4 linked regions of the Drosophila melanogaster genome follow. Changing the gene in region 4 together with the main gene of any one other region gives a genetic interaction. Each region holds a gene or a part of one and is shown on either strand. Other genes may lie near its edges.

Evidence for each region.
Region 1: of tkv (region 4) and brk, changing one suppresses a phenotype caused by changing the other (phenotypic suppression), as found in Drosophila melanogaster (2 studies listed by BioGRID).
Region 2: of tkv (region 4) and Snoo, changing one suppresses a phenotype caused by changing the other (phenotypic suppression), as found in Drosophila melanogaster (3 studies listed by BioGRID).
Region 3: of tkv (region 4) and Mad, changing one suppresses a phenotype caused by changing the other (phenotypic suppression), as found in Drosophila melanogaster (3 studies listed by BioGRID).

The regions. Positions count from the first base shown.
Region 1 is NC_004354.4:7,305,994-7,311,640, reverse strand, and holds brk (brinker), read right to left. Parts: upstream 3,703-5,647; 5' UTR 3,169-3,702; coding exon 1,054-3,168; 3' UTR 509-1,053; downstream 1-508.
Region 2 is NT_033779.5:7,981,192-7,985,955, forward strand, and holds the start of Snoo (Sno oncogene), read right to left. Parts: upstream 3,006-4,764; 5' UTR 2,940-3,005; exon of another isoform or gene 2,755-2,939; intron 1-2,754. Other genes in the region: CG7231 (uncharacterized protein), read left to right, coding at 3,577-3,619, 4,362-4,577, 4,643-4,764.
Region 3 is NT_033779.5:3,146,746-3,154,444, forward strand, and holds the start of Mad (mothers against dpp), read right to left. Parts: upstream 6,009-7,699; 5' UTR 5,688-6,008; coding exon 5,684-5,687; intron 2,535-5,683; coding exon 2,059-2,534; intron 1,993-2,058; coding exon 1,302-1,992; intron 1,081-1,301; coding exon 674-1,080; 3' UTR 1-673.
Region 4 is NT_033779.5:5,241,094-5,245,856, forward strand, and holds the start of tkv (thickveins), read right to left. Parts: upstream 3,047-4,763; 5' UTR 2,983-3,046; coding exon 2,889-2,982; exon of another isoform or gene 1,606-2,888; intron 1,528-1,605; exon of another isoform or gene 1,126-1,527; intron 414-1,125; coding exon 276-413; intron 85-275; exon of another isoform or gene 13-84; intron 1-12.

The sequences.
Region 1 (5,647 bases), on a different chromosome or scaffold from region 4:
AAATGCAATGATAAAACCAGTTTAATTTAAAGTTTTTTTAGTTTTCTGTTGTTAATTTAATCAATTCGTTTTCCTTTTGATTTTGTTGTTTGTTTGTTGTATGGTCACACAATTATTATTATTATTATTGTTGTTGTCAAATGTAATATATAAAAATACTGATTTTATATATATACATACATTTAGATATATATATCTCTTTCTCTATGTATAGGCGCATTTAATATTTCCCTTGGCAATGAAAAAAAAAAAAAAACGTTCTCCTCTTGTTTGTATATAAATATATTGTATATATGTATATTGTATATCATTATAATTAACTTTTAAATGTAACCCTTAATATTACGTTAAATTTCTTGCTCTCTTTTGTGTTTGTAAATATATATTTATGTATAATATAGCTGTATATTCAATAAGCTTCAGTTTTCAACAATTTTATTAAAATTTTGTTTTGTTGTTGTCATATCACAAGAATTTTCAATTTTCAATTTCCAAATAAAAAAAGTGTGTATTGTAAAGGTGTGTATTTGTTTCGTTTTTAAAGCTTTACTCTTAACAATTTTCTCAGTTTTTCCAGTTGCATTTTTCACATTTTCTCTCTTAAAATACTCTCCCACAAGTTATACAAATGAAATGAAGCGTTGAAATTCTTAAGCAAATTCAATTGTTTCGCCTTGTTTCACTTTTTGTACACAATTATTTACACAAGCTAATACAAGAAAAAAAAAAAGAAAAATCTGAACTTAAGCTTAATTTGTTCTTAGTGTGTAACCAAAAAAAAAAGAAGGGTTTATACCTAGGGTTTGGGGTTTTTTTTGCTGATATGCTTGGAAGATATATGTTTGCGCTTAGATATACAATTTTTTATTAAGGTAAACTTAGGTGGTAGGGCTAAAAAAAACGTTATTAAGCTTAAATATGGCTTAGGGAACTAAAAGGCCAGGCCCAGTGACTGCCATTATAACATCCGATTGGTGGGATTGCTGCTTCCTTAGTTTCTATTGTGTGTGTTGTTTGTTGTGTGTGTGTGTGTGTGTGTGTGTGTGTGTGTTCTTAGGCCACCAGGGTCAGGTTTGTGGGCGCAGTATCCGCCACGAGAATCAGTGGTCGGTTGACGGATGATGTCCTCGCAGTGGCCAAGGACTCCTGATCCAGCCAGCGCTGCAGGTGCTGCTGATGTTGCAGGTGATGCTGCTGTTGCTGCTGCTGCTGCTGCTGTTGCATGTACATCAGATTGTCGTTGTAGACGGCATGCAGCTGGAGATTGAGGCTGTAGTTGCTGCCGCTGTCGCTGTAGGTGGATGAGCTGCTCTCGTAACCGGAAACGGGCGATCCTTTGGGGCAACAGAAGCCGGTGGGCGAGAGGGCGGGCGCCGAGAATGGGCTGAGGGGCGTGGTGGCTTTGCTGGAGCTGCAGTTGTCCTGAAATTGCTGATTAGGACTCCCGCCGGCGACGGGAAATGTCTGCTGCTGTTGCATACTGGTGGGGCACTGAAAGCTGCTGGTGATCGAACTGCCGGGCGATACACAGCCACCGGGATACGGATGGTTGCTCCAGATGATGGGTTCCCTTTGTTCGTTGATTGCCGATGGCTTTTTCTTGAGGCGACGCTGTTTCTTGTCGGCCGCCTCCTTGGAGTCCACCTCATCATCGTCGGCATAGCGGGACTCTTCCTCGTCGTCCTGCTCCTCCTCGGCAGCTCCCTCATCCAAATCCTCCTGCCGATGGTGATGGTGATGATGATGATGATCCTGCTCCTCATCATCGTCCAGCAAATAGGGCTTAAATAGCTTGACCTGTTTAGAGGGCAGCTTGTGCTCCTCCGGCTGCTCCGTCTCCACGTCCACCTCCACATCCTCGTTCTCCGTTTCCGTTTCGGGCTCCTTCTTGATCACCTCCTCCAGCTTACTAATCTTATCCGGCTGCATCGGACTAGTGATGACCTTACGTTTGCGGAAAGTGAGATCCACACCAGATGGATCCTTTTCGTGCAACTGCATTTGACGGCGGGCAGAGGATCCGAGAGAGAGGTCCATGGGGGCTGGTGTGGCAACCGCCTCCAGTCGATTCTCCAAATAGCCATGCAGATTGTGATGGTAGGCAAAGGGCACATGTGGAATGTGACTGGCTGACGATGTGGACCCAGGGGATCCGCTCAGGATTGGCACTTGTATTGGCACTTGGTTGCTGTTGCAGCTATTGCTGCTGCTGCTGCTGTTGTGGCAACTACTGTTATTGCTGCTCGGCAATGTGTTGCTGCTGCTGCTGCTGCTGGCGGGGATTGTTGCTGTCGGTGTGGGATTGCCATTGCTGGTGGCCATGGCGGCGGCAACAACAGCGGCTATTTTGGCCGCCGAAAGGACATTCGAGGATCCCTGATTGCTGCCATTGGTAGCAATGGTTGCAGGTGTCTCCTGCTGTGACTGCTGCTGATCCTGTTGCTGCTGCTCCTGCTGCAACTGCTGCTGCTGCTGCTGTTGCTCCTTCTGATGCTGCATTTGAGGATGCATTGCCACCGGGACATGCAAGTGGGGATGGGCGGCCAGGGGGTGTGGAACCATGCCATTGGCTGCCAGCAAATGGTGGGCGGCATGATGGTGGGCTGCTGCTGCTGCTGCTGCCGCTGCTGCTGCCGCCGCTGCTGCTGCAGCGTGATGATGATGGGCGGCATGATGGTGGGCGGCATGATGATGATGATGACCCACCGCGGCGGCGTGATGGTGATGCAACTGGTGCACCAGCGGATGGCTCAGCTGATGGAACACCTTGACCGCCGGTGTCGGCGATACCGATTGCTGTGGGAGTAGTTGCTGCTGCTGCTGTTGTTGCTGCTGTTGCTGTTGCTGCTGCTGCTGCTGTTGCTGATTGTTGGCCACCGATGATCGCAAATTTGACTCGCATTGCAACCATTTTTGGATTTGCCGGCGGTGAATGTTGTATTTCCTGGCCGTGGCCCGTTGATTGCCCTTGCAATCATTATCATTCCTGTATGATTCGAGGACTTGCAGCTTAAAGTGGGGCGTGAAAATCCGACGACTTCCCATTTTGGGGCTGCCCGAAGAATTGCCATTATTTGTGTGGCTGTTTGTGGCATTCTCCGAAGAATCCTTGGGCCGCTTGAAATTCAAAGCTCCCGATCCGTTCAACTGTTCGCTGCTGCTATCCATGATTATGGTTTATTTTCGTGGCGTTCTTTAAAGATTGTTTTTATTTTCCCAAGATTCTGGTCAGTTTTGTGTGTATTTTTGTTGATTTTAATGTAGCGAAATAATAGTCAAACAAGTGTGTTTTGCAGTAGTAGTAGGTAGTAAGTTTTAGGTGCTTTTGTTGTAGCTGTTGTTGCTACTTGCGTGCGACGCTTGCGCTTTCATAACTCGCGATCTGGCAGCTCTGTCCCCAAAGCAGCGACGTCGACTGCGACGCGTCTCACATACACACACTGGCACACACTCGCTCTGATACTTTTTGGAGTTTATTTGAAAGCACTTTTCAAAATCCGTTTCAAATCTATATAGTTGTGTATATTTCGATTGGTATAGATCGGATAAATAAAACACAGTTAAAAAAAATATATGTCTGCGTGCTGTTGCTTCTTCTGCTCTTTTCCTTTTCTTGTTAGCTACTTCTCGTACGTTTTACTACGCTCTTCTCATAACTCGCGTTTGCGATCCGCACGGCAAGGAATCCAAAACACAATTGTTCTGCCCTCGGCGTTCTAGTTCGAAGATACGTTCTAGACTGCCTCGCCTCGGCCGGCGTCGCTGCCGGCGCCGCCGTCGACTGCGGTTCACTCTGAAATGCTCACGCACACAGGCGTAAAGTGCCTGCCTGTCTGCTGTGCGCTGCTGTTGTTGTTGCTGCTGTTCGTGTGGGTGTTCGTGTGCGTGCAGCAGTGGGAGAGAGAGTGAGAGGGGGAGCTAGAGAGCGAGCAACAGAGAGAGAGCGCATGGCGCTGAAGCTGAGCATTGCAGACAAACTGACGACAATCGTGTCGCGAGGTGTCTGCGCTTGCATGTGTGCGTGCTTGGAGTGCAAGTGCGAGCGGGATGCCATAATACCAGTTCCCTTTTGCGGCGCTTTTGTTGCTGCTGTGCCGTGCTGTGCTGAGTTGTGTGCACGGTGGGACCGAATGGACAACATGGGACGGAGCAACCCATTCCCCCGTCCCTGTGCGCCACAGTCTTTGTCCACTCTTTTCGATTGCCACAGTCACCCGACTGACTGACTAACTGACAAACACCGCGAACCGCACAGTGGGACCAATTCGTATGGCTTTTTTTTATATAAAAAATAAAAAAAATATTATATGATACCTAAAAACATGGAATAGAACAAATCAAAAGATAACATTTTTAACAGCGAGATAATATAACACATTTTCTTCTTCTTTAATAATTAAAAAACCCTTTATCAATTTATAGGCCATCGAGTCAATAAGTGAAACGCGTTTCAAATTCTTCTATCTCTAAAACATTGTTAGCTATCTGCCAACAACAGATTATTGTTTTAAACATAAACCCAAAGTCGACAAATGTTCGCACTACTTGGAAACCATTTTTAAATTCTGTTTACAAAAATTAGTTTTTTACATGTATTAGTAGGCCCACACTTAACCCTTTGCTGGCAGCTTTTTGTGCCACTGTGTCGCAGCACAGTTTGTTAGCGGCTGCGGTTGCTGTTGCCGTGTTGCGTTGTGTTGTTGTTTCTGGCTGCGCTACAAATTCGCTGGCTCTGCCAGTTGCTCATACAGATACACACACGCACACACACGTGTGCAAAAGGCACCTTTGAATGGTGTGCGTGTGTGCGCCAGAGTCGTGGCTGCCAGACATTCTGGCACTGCCACTCCACACGCCGCCCTCCCCCATACCCCTTCCACATCGGCCAGAGCCCCCCACCCCTTTTGACCCACACCCCTGTGCCCACGTCCCCCGTCAGCATACACACACACATCCGTAGAAACCGCGCAACAGATCGTCGAACGAACTTGTTGAGCGCCGCTCTCTCGCCAACCAAACCGCCCGCTCTCTCTCTTCCTTTTGCTCTCTCTTGAATCAACTGTTGAATGCATTGCTGCATTTTTTATATTTTTACACACACATAGAGCCAGACGAACACAGAGGTTTCCAACTATCTTGGTTTTTTTTTTACTCGTTGTTATGGCCGTGGGTGCATATATACCATATAGCTTTAGCTTATTTCTGTCGACGTTGCCGCCGTTCTGTCTAAGCTTAGAAAAATTGAAAAAATAAAACAATGCAACGAAAAAGAACTAAAAGGGCATGCAATAAGTGCAGCAACAATATGTGTACAAGAGAACCTCTCCGCACTTGTTGCAAATGACAAACCGAAATGCTGCCTCTGCTTCGTTACCAGCTTACTCTGCTTCTTCTGTTCTCCTGCCTCGGCAAAATCTGGATTCATGAATGAAACACACACACACACTGCCGCAGACACCTCGCTCTCTTTCGCTATTTGCATGCGTGTGTGGTTCTGTGTGTGCGTGATTTTTTTTTGTCGGAGACAGTGGGCTGCTTCGCTTGCGTGTGTATGCAAATTTATGAAAATAAAAATAGAAAAAATGACATAAAACAAATCAAATATATGGTGTTGTTGTTGAGCATCAATTTGCGCGTGCGGTATGGT
Region 2 (4,764 bases), 2.7 Mb from region 4:
TAATGACACTTGAAAAGGCCAAACAAATTTTACTCGATCACTTTATCCATAGAAACATTACCATTTATATTGAGAGCGATGTAGATTTTGAAATTATTCAAAGAGCACACATAGAAATTGTTAATACCACCTACACAAAAGTAATTCGCAGTCTTTTCCTATTAAAGAACGTTGGTTCATACGCCGAATTCAAAGAAATCATACTTCAATCACATGAAAAACTTTTACACCCTGGTATACAGAAAATGACAAAATTATTTAAAGAAAATCACTTCTTTCCAAATAGCCAACTATTAATTCAGAATATAATAAACGAATGCAACATATGCAATTTGGCCAAAACAGAACATAGAAACACCAAAATGCCTTTAAAAATCACACCCAACCCGGAACATTGCCGAGAAAAATTTGTAGTAGATATTTATTCATCTGAGGGAAAACATTACATCAGTTGCATTGATATTTATTCTAAATTCGCTACACTTGAGCAAATTAAAACTAAGGATTGGATAGAATGCAGAAACGCATTAATGCGCATTTTTAATCAACTAGGTAAACCCAAATTATTAAAGGCAGACAGAGACGGAGCTTTCTCCAGTTTAGCTTTAAAGCGATGGCTTGAAGAAGAAGAAGTCGAATTACAGCTCAATACAGCAAAAAACGGGGTAGCAGACGTCGAAAGATTACACAAAACAATAAATGAAAAAATTCGTATAATCAATTCATCTGATGATGAAGAAGTAAAATTAAGCAAGATAGAAACAATCCTCTACACATACAACCATAAAATTAAACATGACACTACTGGACAGACACCTGCTCAAATTTTCTTATACGCTGGGCATCCCATATTAGACACTCAAAAAATTAAAGAGAAGAAAATAGACAAAATAAATGAAGACAGACAGGAATTTAATATTGACACTAATTACAGAAAAGGTCCACTACAGAAAGGCAAATTAGAAAACCCATTTAAACCAACCAAAAATGTAGAACAGACAGACCCTGACCATTACAAAATCACTAATAGAAATAGAGTTACGCACTACTACAAAACACAATTCAAAAAACAAAAGAAAAATAATAAACTCTCAATTTCACAGGCACCTGGTACCCGATAACACTATTGTTTATACTGATCACAGCTGTTCATGGACAACAAATTCAAATTAATAATATTGACACCAACCACGGATACCTCCTTTTTTCTGATAAGCCAGTACAGATACCATCCTCCTTTGAACATCACTCCTTAAAAATCAATTTAACTGAAATAGACATCGTGGTTGACTATTTTGAGCAAAGACTACGAACCGATTACCATGCACCCCAGATCAATTTTTTATACAATAAAATAAAAAGAGAACTAGCCGGAATAACCCTGAAACATAGAAACAAACGGGGTCTTATTAACATTGTGGGTTCAGGTTTTAAATACCTATTTGGAACACTAGATGAAAATGATCGAGTCGAAATACAGAAAAAACTTGAAATCAACGTCCATAACTCAGTAAAATTACATGAACTCAACGACGCCATACGATTGATAAATGACGGAATACATAGAAGATTTGGAAATGGCTATGCAGCTTTCCAGACTTGGACTGTTTAACCCCAAATTACTAAACTACGACAAACTTGAAAATGTGAACAGCCAAAACATTTTGAACATTAAAACATCCACTTGGATTAACTACAATGATAACCAAGTATTAATCATATCCCACATACCCATTTACCTTTCACTAATAAGCACAATTAAAATAATTCCTTACCCAGACTCCAACGGCTATCAGCTAGATTACACAGACACACAATCATATTTTGAAAAAGAAAATAAAGTTTATAATACCGAAAATAAAGAAGTAAAAAATGAATGTGTCACCAATATTATTAAACACTTAAATCCAATTTGTAATTTTAAGCCAGTACACACGAACGAAATAATAAAATACATAGAACCAAACACAATTGTAACCTGGAACTTAACCCAAACAATTCTTAACCAAAATTGCCAAAATTCAATTAATAAAATAAAAATAGAAGGAAACAAAATGATAAGAGTAACGCAATGCAAAATAGAAATCAATAATATAATTTTAAGTGAAAATCTGTTAGAACCAGAAATAGATTTGACATCACTATACACACCACTTAATATAACAAAAATAAAAATTGTAAAACACAACGACATTGTTGAGATGATTTCAGAGAACAATATTACACTTTACATACAAATGATCATTGTAATAATCGCACTAATTTTGTTGTACTCATATTTAAGATATGTATCATTTAAACCATTTATGATGCTGTATGCAAAACTTAAAATAAGAAAAAATCAAAATCAAAACACACCACAACAAACAGAAATAGAAGAAACTCCATTTCCCACACTATATCCATCAATCCCAGCCCAAGTATAGGCTTCTCTTTAAGGGAAGGGGAGTGACGTATTTGGGTGGTCCAAACCAGCCACTTCCATTATTTCAAAGAAATCAGTAATGCACTCTAGTAATTTTCCATAACGTATCCCAGCTGCGCAGCATTCGTTTATCTTTGGCAGCGCAGCCGTTCTTGTAAACATCCTAAAGCCTGACCTAAGCAGATTTGACTGCCCTCTTTCAACGCTACCTAATCTTAAGAACCCAAGAGCGAGGCTCTCCCGAAATACAAATATTGTTCAAATACTGAGGCTTCTCCTCAATCCAATTTGCATTTGATTTTTAGTCTTAAGCTGAGATCCAAAGAATAAAGTCGTGAAACTATTTCTCCTAAAACTATTTTTTATTTCTTGGCGTTGTCCTTAGTCAACTGACGGGACATTAGTTCGACTCATAAATAAAACAACAATTTTACTATATATTTTCAATTTTTTTTTTCGCAAGCGTCGCACGTGCGAGCTTTTCCCCCGATATTTATATTCGCCACTCACACACACGCGCACCGAGAGCGACACGTCCGAACGGTTCCAGAGCCGTTAAATTTTCGAACTAAAACTGAGTGTCGGGGGTGTAGTGTGGCCAGTTCTTCTAGCGCTCGTTTCGGTAAAGTTTGTGCTCTCGCTTATTGGCCGCATTTCTTGTGTACCGCCGCATGGTCACTCTAGTGCCGCTCTTTGAACCGCTCTCTTACGTTTTCTCTTCTATTACTGCTGCTCATTTAACAGAAATGTTAAAATGCAACGCTTTTCTAACAGAGACCGCGGTCTAAACTTATTTAAATAACATTTTATCTTTTAATAAGCAAATAAATGTAAATCGTACTTAATGAAATATATGATTTTACAAGATGTGTGGTAATAATTTCCATAAAAACGTTTGTTTGTTCTTTCTTCTTTATAATGTAGTAACTAGTTTAACTAGTCCGCGAGTTCATCGGATAACGTGACCACTTAAAAGATTAGATTTTGGGATATGCGGATAGATTGTCACTACCAATTTACAATACTTAATCAATGTTTAATTAAATCAGCAAATGCTATCGATAAGCCAAACTGAAAAATTGCCATTTAGTTCGTTTCTAACCGTGGCGGTCCCAAGTTCATGATCAAGTGCCCTTAGACCTATAGAAAAAATGGACTCAAAAATTACCTTTCTACTTACAACGCTACTATTTGGTAATTCGTATTTTTGCACTTTTCAAAATCATTACATATCATCATTTTTTAATGTTTTTAACTCATGTACATACGACCCCTGGGTCGCTTGGAAACATTAGGATCCAGACAGTTTAGTTTTGACATAACTTAAAAAAACTAACAGGTATCTGATAGTCGATGCTCCTGTACTCAATTAAAACATTTAAATCTGACGAGTGTGTTGGGTAACATTACTTGATAATACATTTACACAATCGCAAAAAGGGGGTAAAACGTAAAATAGCAACATTTTGTTATTTTTTGTCAATAAGTTGTCATGTAAACTCTTAGAGCTAGGGTATATGAGCGTCGGTCTCTTGAAGTTAAGCACATTTCTCGCCATTCTCACTTCACGTCTGCTCTCTACGCTTGCGCCATTGCACAGCTGACAGATTGAAGAGAATTATTGATGTGCAGTTGCATTGCAGCATTCGGTGAAAGCGGAAGAAGGGCACAACGCGCTTTGCATTCCATAAAAATCGCATAACAAAGGGAGTTAATTAGAGTCCATTCGCGCACACATACATATGTACACGCTCATTGCGAAGTAAACAAATTCACATTGGATTGGATTGCATGTGTTTGCGTATCAATTCTCGCTGGTAGGGTGGTAAGGAAGGCAAATGGGCTTATCTACGCGTATCTGCCATATTATGCCCTCTGTGCGTCCCATTGTCCAATTGTGGAATATTAATGCCGTCTATTTCACGTCCACTCGCAGTGCTCGTGGCCAAAATCAATGGGTCTGCTCTGAACGCCAGCAATTATCAGTACCAAGTGGTGGTCGAGCAGACAGCGCCAGACGATTCCCAGATCGAATATATATTCCTCAAACAGTCGGATATGATGAAGGTATGGGGCACAAATCTCACTGCCATTACCTGGGCCCATGCCGTCAACAGCCAGCAATTGCTGGACGAGGTCCTAACCGAAACCAGTAAGATCATTGGCCAAATATGCGCGTGTAACCAACTTATCAATAGTATCATTTCCCTGCCCAAGGTGGCATTGACTTCATCGAAGCGGACATTGTGCTGGGCAAACTGAATGGCGATGGCGAGGACATGCCCATAATGGCCCATCCGCCGGCCAATGTCTCTGATCTTACGCTGTCGGAATTTCTC
Region 3 (7,699 bases), 2.1 Mb from region 4:
CTTAAAATTAGTTAAACCATATATATATTTAAATCAACTATATTGAACATTGAATTCGTTGATCCAAGGCGAACCGCAAATGAGAAAAATAAAACATAAGCTAGGGCTTCTTCAAAATCATTTTAAGAAATGTATTGCAATAAGTGTTTTCATATCCCTACGTAAGTTACTTGTTCCTTATGTAATTAAAGTTGGTAGGATTAATTCAATGTGTTTTTATATTTAAAGCAGTTTTGCAATGACACATAATTAGCACTTGAAATAGACTTGAACAAGAACTGTTTTGCCAATGGGCATAGATCATTAATATTATAGCATGTAGATCATTGTAAATAGTTATACCATTTTGTAATTGGTTTCTTAGCTCGCTGTCCATTTTCATTACTCTGTTTTAGCGTTAGGAATGACATTCGCATAGAAAATCATACGATAAACTATAAAATATGGGCAAAGGGCGGGTATTGGAGTAGCTGCCGTACATCATCTATATAAATCTGCGACTGAGTGGCATGGACCTCCATCCTCAGGCCTACAGACCTATGCTCTCTCCATTGTCCTGTGTTCTCTACGTCTTTTCACACTTAGCTTTCACTCACACGCACTCATCATTTAGCTACCGGTTTTGTGTTCCTTCTCTTCCGTCTCCATTGAGGACTCGAGCCTCATCTTAAGCTTAGGATACCGAACTAATTGCATTATGCGGAGAGCCCATTTGGGTGAGCACCTTGTCCAGCCACTGGAGCGGCCCGTGCAGATGGATTTCAATCCAACAGGGCGTCGAGGTCACATCCTGGCGATGATACTCCGCACCCCAGCCCTTCACGAACGACATCCGGATCGTGCACATCTTTGTCAGCTCGTAGACGGCCTCGAATCCATTGTTCACCGACTGCGACAGCAGCTGAGCAAATTCCTGATTGTTGAAGATCTTCAGCGAGCAGCCCGGCGGTATTTTGCACACGGTGCTCGGATGGAATCCGTGGTGGTAGTTGCAGTTGCGCGACTGCACGAAAATGGCGGAGTCGGATAGGCATTCGGCGTAGACCTCGCCGGTCACATAGTATAAATGAACACCCTTGCCTGGGGAAGAAGAAACATTTTGAGTTAAAAAGACAGGTAGTTGGATTCTTGAAGTCCATAGCTTTCTACTCTACTCAATGCCTATTTTTATAACTGATAAACACAAGTCGCTTTCTAATTTAAGATTACCAATGTGTAATCTTAGTTATTAACCACTTTAAGATAGTTGCTGATGGGAAATCTCTGTGAGTAAGTTAATTTAAGTGCTAAAATCGACTCACCTATATGACGGCGTGTGTTCTCGATGGTGCTATTCCTGTTCACGTTGCTCAGCTGGCCGAGACAGCAGCGGTCCGAGTTGTTGGAAGGATTCGTGAAACCGTCAACGATCACGGAGTTGTTGTTGCAGTGGAACACCTCGCCCACGCGGCAATTTAGCTCGTAGTAGGCTATCGACGCCCAGAAGGCGGGCTCCGAATAGCTAACCTGGGCAACATCGCCCATCTGAGCATCCAGCAGCTGGCCACCGTCGTTCGGATTGTTGGAGTTGCCATCCTCCGAGGGACTGTAGGCGGGTGGCGGTGTTCCCGCCAAGCTGTCGTACGGCGAATTGGGATTGGAGTTGACGGAACTCGGACTGCCCACCGATGTGTTGCTGGTGCTCAAGCTGTGCGAGTTGAATCCACTGTTCGAGTAGCTCACATTGTGCGGCATACTGGGCTCGGCCACATGGTTGAACTGCAGCATCGAGTGACCGGGCGCGAATTCCGAGTGGCGAGGAACGAGTACTGGCGGGAGCACCGGACTCTCCACGCGCTTATAGTGATACGGATTGATGCACACCTCCTTCTGCTTGGCGCTGAACGGATACTGGCACAGCTCGAGTGGCTTCAGTTCGTGGTGCGACTGCAGATCTGGCCAGCGCCACACGCGGCAGTAGATCACATGCGGCAGACCCTTGCGATGGGAGACCTGATATTCGGAAATAGGAGTTAATAATCATCTGTTACTTAGCTGGCCATGTGGCTTGTGACCCACCTGTAATCGTCCGTCCAGCGAGCGTGGAATGGTGACACACTTCGAGGGCTGACCGGGACAGGAGAGCGCACGCTCCAGCTCCTCGATGGCGCCCTTGCGCTTCTTCAACTTCTTCACCAGACTGTCGACGGCCTTCTCCGCCCACTTCTCCTCTTCGTCACCCTGTTTCCAGCCCAGCAGCTTCTTCACCGCCGGCGATGTGAAGGAGAATAGCGAGCCCAGTGTGGACATCGCGCTGCTTGTGTTCGATTCCACATCGTCGGTGTCCATTCTGTTGCTGCTGCCGCTGATTGCTGTCGTCAAATTGAGGTTGTTGCTGCTGCCACTGCTGCAGATGTGGTTATTGTTATTGTTGATGTGGTGGATGTTGTTGTTGTTGCTGCTGCCGCTGCTGATGGTGGTGGTGGTGGTGGTGCCGCCGTTGATTTGGGGTGGAGTCACCCGATAACCGGTATAACTATCAGCGGGCGGATAGTCTGTGAAAAGAGCAAGTAAAAAGCAAATATAAATAATAAATACAAATAGAATTGCAGGCATTCATCATCGAGCTTAGATTGTCTCAGCAACGCCCACAACACAACGCATGCAAAATTCGAATGCACTGAGAGAAATGTTATAGAAAACTTTGCATCTAATTCAAGCAAATGTTTATACGTAACAAAAGGGGAAGTCAGCAACTTATGTGACCCTTTTTCTTCGAGTGTCTTTACCCGCTTGGCCAAGTGCCCAGCAGAAATTGGAGGAGGAGTGAGTATCCATGGGGCCTGGCAGTGCATCGTGTTTCTGGCTAGTGAATGAAGTCGTTGGGAGGTTCCTGTCATGAACGGACTCCTCCCACTTTCAATGTTGGCGGCCAATTGCATGCAAATTGCCTGCAACATTTTCTCATTGAGAATAATGGCCATTATTGCTTCACTTAACCAACTAGCTGATTAATCGAATCTCGATTTCGTTGGAAACTTATTTTTATCTATTAAATATGGTTATTGTTCGTATTCAATCGCAGCTGACGTCAATTGTGAAACGATTCTATTGTAAGGGGGGTATTTTTGAGGTCTGACAGTTCTTTGAATTCCAAAAAACCACAAAGGTTGCGAACGAAAAGAGTTCGCACTTTTCAACGTTATAAATAGTATTAGTTTTCGAACACAACAATTCTGCAAAAATATATGAATAATAGGTAAATTTATGAAGCACAGATAATAGTTTCATGTGCTGGTTTTCGGGCTGCCTTATCGATTCTTAGAAAATTGGCATTAAGAAATTGGTTTATCAACAGAAAAAACTAAACTATAGCAATAAAAACCCACTGTCTTCATTCTATTTAGTTAGGCTCCACTGTACTGCAGTAATATTCGAGTCGAGTGGCGAGAACTGCATCTCATAATGAGCGCAAATGATAACCAAATGGTGTTCGACTTGTCAGCGCCACAATTGTGGGTATTCCCCCCTGTTTTCTACGCCCCCCCCCCTCCATACTTTTCCCCACCAAAGACAACAATTCCATTTGAATTATGACATTTCAATGTTAACAGCATTTCTGAGGAACTTCTCTCCGTTGGCCAAGTGGCTGCGCTCCAGTTGGCTGTCTTAGCCTCAATCTCGTTGCTTTACTCAAGGTGTCAAAAAATGTTTGATTAAATTTAAAAGTGACAAAACCTAATTGAATGAAAATTTGTAGTAGCAATTAATTTGTGCAAGCTGGAGCAAAAATCGGCGAGCCACACAAGGCGAACTTGCTAGGCGAACCACCCATTTTTGTGGCAAGCAAACGGGCTGGTAAATCCAATTTCAAAAGCAATTAAATGCCGGCGATAAATCAACAAGTGCAGCACTTGGACAACAAGAAAACACCTCTCGATTGGGCTCCCGACAGACCAAATGGCGCATATTTCTGGCCAAATTAGCCGTTGCGTGAATTAATTTCGATTTTCTCGCTCAACTCGGGCCTAAAAATTTTGGGGCGTTGCCGTTTTCTTTTTTTTTTCGCAGCATTGACAATTTTATGTTGTCGCCCATGGAAGGGGGCGTGGTCAACGAGGACCAGTGGTTGGGGGCAGTCACTTTTCTAATTGCCCAAAGTCAACCAGAGCCTCCGGCGGTAGATATATTGCTCTAAGAATGCTCTAACTTTATCACTAGCCTACAAGAATATATTGAAATTAATGATAAGTCACACAACCATTTTGATTACCAAAACTAGCTTAAAAACCTCTTCCAAAAGATTAGGATTACGAACAAACAATCGGTACCTTATCGAAAATGGTACACCTTTGCTTATAACTAATCCCAAAATTAAACATACAGTGGAGTACCAGTTCACATGGTCTCTCCTTCTCAGTAACTCAGGATACAAACGGAGTGACACTTGGCGGACAGACTTATCGAGGGGGTTAGTGGAGATAGAGAACTCTACCCTACGTATTTACCCAGCTGACTAGTGTCGTGTGTTTTTAGGTGGCAATGGTGCTCTAGTGGAATTCGATTGATTTGAGTGGGGCAGGCATACAAATTTCGATAATGCCCCCGTTTTGTTTGTGCAAAGCTCGATTGCAGGTGAGGTTTTCGACATAATCAGTCGGTTTTCAAAAGGGGAAACTACCCCATTAATTCGCAGGAATTACATAAAAACTTTATTTACACGATCATAACAACATATTCAACATATTTATGATGTTTATTCGGAGATTTGATGGTTTTCCAAACAACAAAGTGGCTTTCTTTAGGCACTTAAACGATTTTCTTGTTTTGTCTCTCAATGCATCTCGAGTTGAACGATACTAAATATAAATATAATAAGTCCTTTATGATCCATTATCATATGGGACATTCCCCATATCAATTAAAGATCAATAATCGTAATTCGCAATTACATATTACCCGAGCTGAGATCACGTACCCAACGTACCCGCCCAAAGTGGCCCAGTCTTCTTTCTGCTTTCAAGAAAACCACACTCGAAGGAAAGTTCTTCATTGCTTTCAAAGCAAATTCAATTGATGGTTCTTGGTTTAAAGTGAATCTACTTTTAGTCTTATATTTAGAGTAACTAAATTGAAGAATTGCATTTCAAATCGGCTGTGTACATTCTTCTGGTTAGTGATTCCATTGTGAGTTTCTTTTCAGTGCATCGCTAGTCAGGGATCATAACTCAACTGGAGAAACGGAGGAGCGAGGATATCGAGGCACTTTTATGGCAGGCACGCATTCGCGCATGCGTATCATACCATTCCAATCGATAATCAATCATAAATGCGGCAGTGACAATAAGGCGTAAATCATGGGAGCCAGGTAGAAGTAGAAATCAAGGTGGATGGATGGCAAGTACACAAGTACAGAAGTACAGAAGCACTTCCGCTGCCATTGAAAGCGGGCAAAAAGCGTGGTAAAGGGTACTACGACTAGTGCCACAAAAATAACAACAAAACAACAAGAAAAAAACGAACAGACAGAGAAAATAGGGACTTGGACCCATGTTTAAAAATAAACAAACAATGCACACACAAAAACGCAGCGCGATAAAGACCAAAACCAAACAGGCCAAAGTTTCGATTTGATGCGAGGAGGAAAACTCAAAAATCGAGCAACTCGAGGCAAACGAGAACTATGTACGAACTAAGAACCTACACATGATGATGTTGAGATTGCAGATATTATTTTATTTATTTTTATTGCACGCACAAACACACACACACACACGGACAAGAATTCAGCATCAAAATGTTATTTTATTCGTATGCAAATCGCAAACGCGACCCTCCACGACGATCGGGCATCCAATCCAGTCGCCTCAGCAGTTACATTTCCGCTGCGAGTCTTCAATTCAATCGTTATCACCGTAATAACTTCATTTATTTAAGCCTTTTGCCGTATTATTTTTTATTTTCGCCGTAAATTACGCAAAGTGGAAATGGCAGCGAGCGCGAATCAGAAGTCAACTGCACGACACGACCGATCGACAACGAATGCCGAACGGGTTGCCCAGCAAACTGAGTGCGCCGAGTGTTGATTGACTGACTGACTGACTGACTGACTGACGAACTGACTGACTGAGTGAGTGACGAACTGAACGCAGCCCAAACTGCATTCGTATTGTGTATCGGTGTGAGTTCGCCAGGGATGCGAAGCAGCAGGTCCATCCTAAAGTATCTAAAGGTAACACAAACTACTTTCTACAGTTATTAATAAGTTTAAGACTGGAAAATTGAGTTATTATATTCCATTTTCTTAATATTTATCTATTTAGTAATGTACTTATTGTAGCCCTAAGAGAGTATAAATCTAGTGTATGTATCCCTATTGAATCCCTTCTTTATCACCAGCTAGTCCGCAGCCCTGATTTCTGAAGACCTCTGAGTGACGTATTCGTATTCGTATTCCTGTGCTCGTAATTGGTTTCAGTGTGCGTTTGGGGCAGCCAAGTGCACACCACTACACCCATACAGGCAACGAAAGTTTTGTTTTAAACAAATCAAATGCCCTATCTGCAGTTGGGGGCGCCAGCACGTGAGCGCGAACGTGTTTGTGTGCAGCAGATCACACGGCGAGAAAAATATGCAACATTTGTATTTCAAATAACAATGTTACTTGAAGAACTAAGATTTAACATTTGAGTACTCTTTTACTTAACTCTTTTTCGAATTAAATAGACATTGCTGTTTTTAGATGCACACTAATTTGTTTGCAGTGCATGGCCTTTGGTGGTGTTGGAGGTGGCGTCAACCCACAGCCACAATCAAACTGTAAACACCCCACCGCAACCACAACAAAAATGAAGGGAACGTAGTTTCAGGGGAGGAGTTTAAGAGAAGGCAGCGTCAACGAATTTTTTCGTGCGTGGGACCGGCGAGTAATTGAACCTAAAATTCGATGAAGCCCTCCTTCGGCAGAGTGTTTTCGGTACGAAAATAAGCGGAAACAAATCGAAATTCTATTCGCAAATGCACTGCCAATTTTTTTTAATGGGTAAAGCAACGAAACTAAAGTTTTTTCGTTACGAAATCTTTTGAATTGAAGTCAAGCGAACCTATTTTCTTGGCCCGGACTGTACGTGTGCTTAGAATGCGAGCATGTTTATGTGCGATCGCTCCTCCCTCCCTTCGCTTTTATTGCGTGTTTAACACTACTAAACGCGAACTTATTGCAAACATGGGTAGCATTATACAGTCGCAGTAAAATCGAAATAGTAATGAAGCGCACTCTCCTCGAAAGCAGAAGTGAAAACGACGAAAAATAACAAAATAATTATGTAGTCCCTTTGGAACAATAAAAATTTATGCACGCAAATTGCACAAAAGCGGAAAACTCAAAACACACACGTGCCGAAGTGCAAACGTCAAGGGGCAAAAATGCGCAGGCACGGCAGAAAATCCTTTTTTAAGTAAATTAACTCAATTCTAATTGCAAATAATTGCCGCGATAATTGCAGGGGGCCACGCAGAGGCTTTGTGTCATGTGAGTAATTGAGCTGTCAACACGGGGACACCACCGCTTTTCCGCAAAAATGAAAAAAATTGCCAGTCGGTGGTGGGTGGTCTACACTACTTTCAAATAAATAGCTTTCAGTTCCATCTTGATTTGAAATAATTTCAATGTTTATGAACATTGATGCACATTTATGAGTAGTATGCAAGTTGAGTAGTA
Region 4 (4,763 bases):
TTATTTACACATCTCCCCGACGGGGAATTGAACCCCGGTCTCCCGCGTGACAGGCGGGGATACTAACCACTATACTATCGAGGATGTTGAACTTAGGTCGCCAAATTCAAAATATAAACTTGCTGTTGATCTATACATCCGAGTGTTATGATCATAAGTTATATTAATCCGAACTAATATTATATATAAGATAAAATAAGATAAGATATGCAAAATATTCGATGCTGATTTATAACACGCTTTTTTAAATCATTTTATTAAGATGGTAGACTCACCATTTTCCACGGTCTTGCTTTTCTCGTTGTCGGCATCCTCATATCCCTCTGATCCTGGTCCAGATCCCATTTCCATGCCACTCAAAGCGGCGGCGGCCATAGCTTCGACGTCTGGCTGAACATTCGCACTGAATTCACCTACGGGGCAAACAGAAAAACGGGCAATACGAAATATAAGTAAATTGAAAAACTGTGTAACTAATTTGTAAACAAAAAAAGGGAGAGCGGGTGGGAGTCTTGGCACTTGAGTTGCTCTTCTGTGGCGCCAGGCAAATGTCAATTAATAATTTAACAACAACAATTGCCCGTTTGTCGGGCGCCTGAAATACGAGATCTTAATTGAAAATAGAAACACATAGGGGCGATGGAGAGGAAAAGGGGAGTCGCACCAACGGAGAATGGGCAACTTCAACTCTCTTCCTGCTGAAAGCGGATGAGCGTGGGCCAACTAGACAGCTAAACGTGTGTCATAAACTTGGTCAAAAGGCCGCAGAATTTAGTGCCTCTCCGCAGACGGCTGCGTTCAGAACCAGTTGCCAGCCAAGTAGTCGGAGAGGCATCTTTAAGATACTGTTTGACAGCTCGCCGAGATTACGTCTAGTTCTGTCGTCTGCACGCCACAGACTTGGAGGATGACGTTCCTCGACGGCTCAAAGCCCACGCAATGAGCGCGACTTGAAGACCAAGAAATCCCCCTTTCTCGAGATACAAAACCGAGGTGCAAAAACCCCACTGTGCAACTTTCAGTGCAAATCAGCGGAAGCGACTCAGACCCAATCTCAGCGAAAGGGGTTAGGCCTCCTGCAGGGGTTTCTGTGTGCTACACTACCCATGTTTCCCCTACACTCACTTTGCCAAAATTAATGAGCAAACTTCATACGTAATTTGATAAACAGAAAAAGTGGTTGGCGCTCATTGGGGTCTTATCAAAACATTAGTTATTATTTATGATGCGTCTCATTTCGAGAGCTGGTATAATATATGTGTGCCACTCGACGGGCAATTGAAATCTCGTACGCGTGTTGGGTGGGCGAGGAAAGTCGCTATTCCATTCCGAATCTGTCAAAATGATAAAATGAATTATGCGAGTGCAGGTCCGATAAAAAGCTGCCATTCATGGAAAATCGGCGGCAATTGCGGAGCGCGAGCAAAGGATAATCTTAATTACGACCATAGAAAGTCGTAAATTAATGGAACTCAATAAAACTTTAGCGTAACATGAGTGGTGTAAATTATGGGAAACCGCTATACACAGTAATAAAAACATTATTAATAAAAAAAAAGTTCAATGATATCGATAGGGGGTTTGCGATATTTTTTAGTTTTGCAACACTTAAGAAGCAATATAATATTTGTTAGCTGAAAGTGCCTTGCTAAAATTTGACTTTCTAACTCCTCTTAGTTTCGAATATTTTCCAGTGCAACCACGAAGTTAACCGAAGCATTGATAAAGCCCATGTCTATGGCTATCGACTATCGCTAATTGATTGAGTGCCTTGCACTTGTCGACTCGAAACCCGCAGACCAAACGACGTAATTCCCCCGACGCGTCTAATATTTTCGCCACTTTGGTGTTGTGTTGTGTTGTGCCTTACACTCTCTGGCAGTTACATAAGCCATCTATCAAAGATTGCAAATTGCTGGGTGGAAAACTCGCGGCTCTTGTGTTCGACACATTTCCAAGAACTCAAAAGCAAAACAAAACACAAACGTGACAATCCATGTGGGTGCAGCCAAAGAACTGCGACCAGGGGAACTGATTTCGTATGGGCAGAACATGGCGACAATAAGCAAAACCCAGGCACAAAGTGGAGCACGTGCAAATTGGCTATCAATCAATATGCATACGGGTAGGAAAATGTACTGCGATGATATAGTTCGCATCGCTTCAAAAGATTCGCAATTACGTAGAAATAAAAGCAAATGCCGACTGCATGGCAAACGAATTGAATGGCTCCCAGCCAAATGGCAAAAATGTTAGGCCTCTATGACACTAGGTCGAAAACATAGTAGGCTATTCTAATGTAAATTCAAACACTTCCATATAGTAACATATTTTTTAATAACATAAAATGAAGAAAATTGATGAACAGAAGCAGCGCAGTCAAAGGATGAGCTAAAGATGCCAGCTTGCAGGAACACCATGAGCAGTCAGGAGCGCACGCAGAACATCAAGCGCTAGATAATGGAGGATGAATTGACCTTGTGCGAGGTCAATACCCTTTCAATCGATTATGAGGCGGCCGGCAAATGACAGTTTAACAGCCGCCACGGAACTAGCTGATCAATCCATTATTGACGATGTTTTTGGAGAAGACATCCTGATGAAAGACTTGCAGCGTAAGAACACCGTGCAGCCCACTTGCTCAACAACGACATCGTATCTTGTCCCATTTGCTTTGAGAAAATGAAGCGCGGTACCATTATGGTGTGCTTGGAACCGCCATCGTTTACTTCAAAGGACTTGGACACCCGTTTCTCCTCCTCGGGATCTTCCACATCACGCTGCACCAAATCGAAATCAAATTCATCAAAGCGAATTCTTCGCAGCTCCGGTTACACAGAGCTGAACAGCAACTCGACTACTCTGCTGTCCAGCGAGGACGAACTTACTCCGCGTCAGCGCCTCTAGTGCAATCTCTTCAAACAGACCGTCGGCTGTCCCAGATGTGGCCTGGAGTTCAAGGGCCACCAGCTGAAGGCGCATCAATCTCTCTGCCAGGGTCGCAAGAAGCACTAGGACGGCACCTTATACGAACCATACATTAAATAAGTTTTTCACAATTTTTCACACAGTAAATTTTCTTCATGTTATCAAAAGTGTGTTACAAGCAAAATATATAAAACAACTGATTGTAAAGTCAAGGCATGCTTATGTATCTAAAATATTGCTTGTTTAAATTTCAAGTCGATTGGTGTCATAAACGCATCTCTCAGATGGTCAGTGAGTGAAAATCAATTGGGTGTGGTCTGGGTAACTGGGCTTTTCAGCGGTTTGCCTGCTCATTGAACCTTGTCCAACTACAAAATGCTTCAAGTACTGCTACATTTACTGCAAAAATGGCCTAAAAATCGCCTTTCAAGTTGCACTTACAGTGGCCCAAAGAAAAACGCGGCCAACATTGTTGCCTGAGATAAGAAAACTTGGCTGGCGAGAGGAAAAACACACAATGAATAATGAATGGCGAATGTACGCCAGATAAACCCACATTGCATTTGTTGTGGGTTCGGGTTCATATTTTCATATTCATATTAAGTGACTGATTGATTGATGGCCCAGGCAACTTGGAGGTTTACTTTCAGTTTATCGTTCGGTAAGTCACACGTTTCTTTCCAAATCGCTCGTGGTTGGGATGTCAACTTGGAGATTGATGGCAGAATGGGGAAGAAAACCCCAAGGCAATCAAAAGTGAAGTAAAATAGGAGTTACGATAGCCAAAATGGGCAATTAGCAAAGTGGGGGTGCGTTTAAAGTTGTGTTTAGCGAAAGTGAATCACATTTCCTACATGTAATACCATGTTTTTGCTGTTTTATAAGATGCTTATGCATGAAGATGGCTAAAAATAGTATGTGTCACACACATTAATTAGAGTAAAACTGTATATTTCGTAACATAAAAATGCTATCTAGAGATTAGTGCTCCCTCCTTTTCACCACCATTAGAAATCCCCTAACCCAGTCGAGATTCTGGCCAGCAAAGATGTTTTGAAACTGGGTCGTCGCCGCTGAGTGCGCGCACTCTAGTAGCAATTAAAAATTTTAAATATTCCTTCTGCTGAACAGAATTTAGCAAACTTGCATTGGCCACTCAAAAATAGATCAAAGTGAAATTTATGTTACAGATTTTGGGTTTTTTTTTTTCTGGGTGGGGAAAACCAGGCGAACGGCGGATGCGAGAGTGGGACGATAGGGCCAAAAATAAATTCCCCGATGCAGCCATTTGGAGTTGGATTCTGTCCATCAACGCGCCGAGTCCATGCTAAATGAGCTGCACCCCCCGCCAGTCCGATGCATCGGCGTGTGAACATTAGTCAAAAATGCGTAAATGAAATCAATTAAAATTACGCATAGCACACGAGACGCATTCGGAATGGAAATCGATGTGTGTTTACACATTCTGCCTACGCGCTCTGCATGGCCTAATGAAGGCACGTCCCCATGCCATACCATCCTATACCACTCCGTCCATACAATCCCATCCAATTCGATCCCCAGGGAATTGGGTATGGGGAATGGTCGAGGGTAAGGGTTGAACCCGAGTGCAATTGGTAATGGCCAACACAAGAAGAAGAGCGGCGGAGCAGGGGATCACTGAGTGCCACTTCAATTTGTTTACAACAAGTTGGCCCGCTGATTGCAGCTGGGCCTCATTTCATACACACTTTAAAAAATCAATTTTCGACTTGCATTTAACGTGCCATATGCACTTGTTTTATATGATGGAACTTCCCTACCACTTATACAATTCCATAATAATTTCTCGCAGT